Linked DNA regions of Bombyx mori. The protein of the gene in region 1 interacts with the protein of each later gene in a pairwise test. Links are inferred from orthologs where the notes say so. Each region holds a gene or a part of one and is shown in the gene's direction. Other genes may lie near its edges.

Evidence for each region.
Region 2: the proteins of brahma-associated protein of 60 kDa (region 1) and akirin protein interact in binary tests that used the Drosophila melanogaster proteins (3 or more experiments, as listed by UniProt). The link is inferred for Bombyx mori from reciprocal best matches to the Drosophila melanogaster genes Bap60 and akirin.

The regions. Positions count from the first base shown.
Region 1 is NC_085116.1:236,102-239,398, reverse strand, and holds the end of brahma-associated protein of 60 kDa, read left to right. Parts: intron 1-1,016; coding exon 1,017-1,443; intron 1,444-1,552; coding exon 1,553-1,635; intron 1,636-1,702; coding exon 1,703-2,317; intron 2,318-2,387; coding exon 2,388-2,498; intron 2,499-2,575; coding exon 2,576-2,734; 3' UTR 2,735-2,753; downstream 2,754-3,297. UniProt on the Drosophila melanogaster protein: Involved in the recruitment and site-specific anchoring of the Brahma complex at specific promoter sites.
Region 2 is NC_085128.1:2,361,316-2,364,371, reverse strand, and holds part of akirin protein, read left to right. Parts: intron 1-304; coding exon 305-492; intron 493-798; coding exon 799-924; intron 925-2,315; coding exon 2,316-2,552; 3' UTR 2,553-3,056. UniProt on the Drosophila melanogaster protein: Molecular adapter that acts as a bridge between a variety of multiprotein complexes, and which is required for embryonic development and for normal innate immune response.

The DNA.
Region 1 (3,297 bases):
TACTACAAGCAATTGAAAAAACTTAAATTCTTGGACCTGTTGTTTAAGTTATGTAGCTAGTTTGAGTAGTTGTGGTACTTGACTTAGGCCAGAATTACAGTCACCTTTTTTGTAGCGATTTTAATAACCTGTGACTCAAAATAATAGGTTGGGGAAAAAGTTTCTTCGCATGTTTTAAGAAAATTCACAACATTTCATAATATAATTTATTTACATTTAACTAAAGTATGTAGGTACCAGTTTGTTCGATAACTTTTTGCCAACTTGTAGGTAGGGACATGATCCCATTGCTATAGAAATTTTGGGGCTTCTGATCAAAATACCGCGACAATTGGTTTTGGCCTAAAGAGTTCTGAAGAGACCGAAACAGGTGGAAATCGGAAGGTGCAAGGTCAAGACCATACGGCAGAAGCATTAACATCTCCAAGCTCTCTTAATTTTTGCTGAGTGGCTAAAGATGTGTGAGGTCTAGCGTTATCATGATAAAAAACCACAGCCCTTCTGTTGACGAATTCCGGCCGCTTTCTCTCTACTTCTTGCTTTAATCTCTTCAGTTGTTCGCAGTAGAGCTTAGAATCGATGGTCCTGCCTTGTGGTAACAACTCATAATGAATAATGCCCTTCCAATCCCACCACACAAAATGCATTACCTTGTTGCGAGCTACACCGTGTTTCGCCACAGTCTGTTAAGCCTGACCGGCCTTTGCCGAAATATCAAGCTTTTTCGTGTACCCAGTTTTTTTTCAAATGCGCCAAACCTGTTTTGTGGTCAATTCCCAGTTTTTCAGCTACGTCGTAACTACTGATAAGCCGATCTTGCTCCATTTTTTTTAAAAATGGCATCCATTTGATCTGTAATAGGGCGACCAGAGTGACGTGCATCTTTGACATCAAAAATTCCGGATTGAAAACGCTTAAACCAAATTTGTGCTACTCTGACAGACACTGCACAAGGTCCATAAACATCGCAATTTTTTTTACAAACTGCAATGCTAACAAGATCAAATTGTCAACAGGCACGCAGCGGATTCGGCGGCGGCGGCGTAGTGGCAGGAGGGGGCGCGCGAGCGGCGGGGGGTGCGGCCTATGGCGGCGGCCCCCGCCCCGCGCCGCCCTCGCCCTCCCCCGTGGCGCCCCCCTCCGCCGTCGCACAGAAGCGCGGGGGTGAGGTCCGCGCCCCGCACCCGCCGCCGCACAAGCCGCTGTACGACGCGTACTCGCAGCCGTCCGCCAAGCGCAAGAAGCGCCTCGCCGACAAGATCCTGCCGCAGAAGGTGCGGGACCTCGTGCCCGAGTCGCAGGCCTACATGGACCTGCTCGCGTTCGAACGCAAACTCGACGCCACCATAATGCGCAAACGTCTCGACATTCAAGAAGCCCTCAAACGCCCCATGAAACAGAAACGAAAACTTCGAATATTCATCTCCAACACGTTCTACCCCGGTTTGTATTTTCTATTTATTTATTTGGTAGCGAATACCAAAGCCTCGCGCCGCTGCCGGCAGCACCACCGCGCTGAACTTATTGATACATTGGCTTGTGGGCGGCGCAGGTCAGGGCGACAACGCGGTGCCGTCGTGGGAGCTGCGCGTGGAGGGCCGTCTGCTCGACGACTCCAAGAACGATCCGAACAAGGTTGGTGCGACGCGCTCGTGGCCCCGGACGCTCCTCGTGAATGGGTTTCATTAAACGTTCAGCACAGAATGTCCCGTTGCAGGTGAAGCGGAAGTTTTCGTCGTTCTTCAAGTCTCTGGTGATAGAACTCGATAAAGATCTGTACGGGCCCGACAACCACCTCGTGGAGTGGCACCGCACGGTGACCACGCAGGAGACGGACGGCTTCCAGGTGAAGCGACCCGGCTACAAGAACGTGCGGTGCACCATCCTGCTGCTGCTGGACTACCAGCCGTTGCAGTTCAAGCTGGACCAGCGGCTGGCGCGGCTGTTGGGCGTGCACACGCAGACGCGGCCCGTCATAGTGAACGCGCTGTGGCAGTACGTGAAGACGCACCGCCTGCAGGACCCGCACGAGCGCGAGTACATCGCCTGCGACCGCTACCTCGAGCAGATCTTCGGGGCACCGCGCGTCAAGCTGGCCGAGGTGCCGGCGCGCCTGGGCGCCCTGCTGCACGCGCCCGACCCCATCGTCATCAACCACGTCATCGCCGTGGAGCCGCCGCACGACGCCAAGCAGACCGCCTGCTACGACATCGACGTCGAGGTGGACGACACGCTCAAGGCGCAGATGAACAACTTCCTGCTCAGCACCGCCAACCAGCAGGAGATCCAAGGCCTCGACTCCAAGATCCACGAGACTGTGAGTCCGACCCCCGCCCCCGCACCGTCCCCGCCCCCCGCCCTCTCTGACTGGCGCCGTCGACTTGCAGGTGGACACCATCAACCAGTTGAAAACAAACCGCGAGTTCTTCTTGAGCTTCAGCAAGGATCCGCAGCAGTTCATCCAGAAGTGGCTCGTCAGTCAGTCCAGAGACCTCAAGGTCAGTGATCACATTAAATTATTAACGTAAGCTAAAAAAAATTATTCTCCACGTGAGCACCGTGACCTGGGTTGCAGAGCATGAGCGGCGGCGCCAGCGGCAACCCGGAGGAGGAGCGGCGCGCACAGTTCTACTGCGCGGGCTGGGCGGGCGAGGCGGCCGCGCGACACCTGCACGCGCGCCTGCTGGCCCGCCGCCGCGACCTCGACCTGGCGCTGCGCCCCGCGCTCCTTTAATTATACTCTTACCCGCCAACTCTGGACTTTCATTTCACTTAATAGCTCTTCAGTTCCTGCCAGACATCATTCTTTATTGTTCATAGCGAAAGTCATTAAACGCTTTCCTGATAATATTGAATGAAATGAAGTGATATAAGTAATGTAAAAAGAAACTGTATCCTGCTTTAAATTAAACACATCAATTATAAACTAGAGGTTCACAGACTTTTCTCATAGATCACTTTCAAAACTTAGGTAGTTCCGGTGGACCCCTGCAGCTACATTTCTACCATATTCCTAAAATTCGACTAAAAATGTGAAGATTTTGATGGAGAATTTTCATACTTAGATGCACTACCTAAGAAAATCTGCGAATTTATTTGTTTAATAATTATTGATCATGCTGTAAGTGGATAACAGCATAGTCAAGCAGACAAAAAATGAAAACAAGCCCACGGCACAAGTCTTACGGCCGTTTTCAATAACGTATCTGAGTTTTCGGATAGATAGCTATCTCCGAATATCAGCAAGAGCGTATCTATCCTTAGTTTGCGTTTCACAATCACGGATAAGTGCTATCT
Region 2 (3,056 bases), on another chromosome or scaffold:
GTCTAAGCTTTCACACATTTGAAAGCATTATGTGATCTATGAATATTGGCAATATCACACAGGCTTCAGAACTAGATCTACTTGTTAACTTGAATTTGTGAAGTAGCCCGGAATCAATTCTTAAATCAAGAAACACAATCAAATCCATTTTCACCAGGTGGACAGTGGGTTATTTTGCTCATCATCATAAATGAACTTATACTTCTTACACATATTCAGTTTTGATCTATAACAATTACAAGGATCATCATGACTCATTTTGCGCCAATAAACTTAATTCCTAACTAAATTAAAATGTTTACAGAACGCATGGCACAAGAGATTTATGATGAGATTAAACGACTGCATAGACGTGGACAGCTGCGCCTGGCCAACGGCTCTGCTGCATCATGCTCATCATCAAGTGGATCCGAAGGAGACTGTTCACCGCCTCATCAATCAGCTCATGGCCCACAACGTGCCCGCACTCGTGCACTATTCACTTTTAAACAGGTCTAATAATTAATGCTCCATTTTTTATATTCAATTCTGGTTTAGATCCACCTCATTTTAATTAAAAATGTGTAAAGAAAAAGCCTATATTATTTAAAACTCTTTAGTTTTTAAAAAGGATTTTTCTTTATTGTCATTCAGTAAAAAGTAAGTTGTTTGTTTAAAATATAAATTTTAAAAGAGATTAAGGGCTTTAAATGTTTTTTTCTTATTATGTTACAGAAAACACAATTAAGTTTTTTTATTTTTATTGTTTATTCATTCTGAAGCACCCCCTATCATTATAAATATAATGTGTTTATTCAGGTTCGTATGATCTGTGAGCGAATGCTCCATGATCAGGAGGTGGCTCTACGTGCTGAGTATGAGTCTGTACTCAGCACCAAGCTTGCTGAACAGTATGAAGCCTTTGTGAGGTTCAACCTGGATCAGGTACAATAATATTTTTATACTTAAAGTATTAAATTAGGTTCTGTGGTCTAGCTACATTCTAGCTTCTTTAGGAAACAGAAAGTTATGTATCTCTGCAAATATGAATTGAGTTATCATTATGAATAACTATTAGGAATTTATACTATAGCTTTAGATGCAGGTAGAAGTATTAGATAAATTATTTCTGGTTGCAAATTTTTGTGACAGCAAGAATACTTCATAGATACAAGCAAGTGGCTTGGAATATTCAGTAACATTCACTTGCCCTGAAATATGGTTTTGTAGATTCTGCTGTATGTTATTGTCAATACCAACCTTAATCAGTTCTTGAAAAGGCTCTACTGACTCCTGCGGTAACCATAGTCCTGTTCAATAAGCATGAAATCCTGTTAACAGCTGGGTTTGATTTGGTTGATATCTCCATTCACCACAATGAGAACCTTTTTTTTTTTTTTTATTGCTTAGATGTGTGGACGAGCTCACAGCCCACCTGGTGTTAAGTGGTTACTGGAGCCCATAGACATCTACAACGTAAATGCGCCACCCACCTTGAGATATAAGTTGTAAGGTCTCAGTATAGTTACAACGGCTGCCCCACCCTTCAAACCGAAACGCATTACTGCTTCACGGCAGAAATAGACAGGGCGGTGGTACCTACCCGCGCGGACTCACAACAGGTCCTACCACCAGTAATTACGCAAATTATAATTTTGCGGGTTTCACTTTTATTACACGATGTTATTCCTTCACCGTGGAAGTCAATCGTGAACATTTGTTGAGTACGTATTTCATTAGAAAAATTGGTACCCGCCGTCGGGATTCGAACACTGGTGCATCGCGCTCAACGCGAATGCACCGGACGTCTTATCCGTTAGACCACGACGACTTCAAAAGACCTCCAGAAGACTGAAAAGGATAAAGATACATTGATAAAATATTTAATCTTCTGATGGTTGTGCAAGTGCATGATTTAATGCTGAAGAGCTTTAACCAACACCTTAAGGAGCTTTCACAATCCAGCTGGCTTAAAAACCTAGTGCAGAAAGCTGTCATTCTCGACACAGTGTGCATTGTGAGGAGGTTTCTCCGAAGCTCTAACTGCTGGAGATTTTTATATGGCACAAATAAAATTTTTAGTCCTTTAAGAAATACGTGCATTGTATTGTTTATAATTTTAATTCATTTACAGTATGTGTAATTAATTATTACTTAGAGGTCATTAACATTTAATGACCTCTAAGTAAACTTAAGAGCCATGAGCTTGGCTGCTCATCTCCACTAATTACCTAATAAAACAGTTATTTGGTTTTGATGATGTTATTAGCTAGTTAAGTTGGTTCCTAAATTAGAATTAATTAATTTGGTTTTAACTAAAAATTGGTGAATTACAGGTGCAGCGCCGACCCCCGCCCAGCACGTGCATGTCGCTCGGTATGGACGCCGAACACATGCACCAGGACCTCGTACCCAGCTGTGAGTATTTGTTACAAAGTTGTCCTTTTACACAAGCTCTTGCCCGTGGATACCATTTGGTTCTCTGCTTTGTGAAAAAATGTTACTTCAAAAAAATGGTTTTACCTTTGTTATTGAGGTTTGGGCCTCTTATGTTAACTTCATGTACAAGGTGAAGTAATTAAAACACACATATGTTTATTGACAGTTCTCAGGATCAAAATTATAGTATCACTGTACATACAATATATGCTTGCTGTTTGCATACTGAATAGGTGTCGCTCTTTACTATATAATTGCTTCACGTATAGTCTCGCTTCGCGTTCTTGTATTCGGTTTGATTATTGTCGCACCTTTGTTCTTGTGCATATAGGCCCCTTAGTATGGTGCGATTTATGATACGACCTCAATCAATATCGTTCGTCTACCCTCATTTAGATGACGTTATTGTGCTATTTTTTGGTTGTTAGGGCCACTAATTGATAAGAGATGGCTCCAGTGCCAATAGGTGCGAATTTTACAATTATAATCACAAAAGCAAGCAGTTTCACATTGTAAAATTTTCCGGATATTGATATCTTTGTCTTATCCTTTAATTATATGATTTATTAAGTAAAAAACAAAAGAAATGTGTACTGTTAAAACAATCACAATCCTAGATTTTCGATTTTCTGTAATAG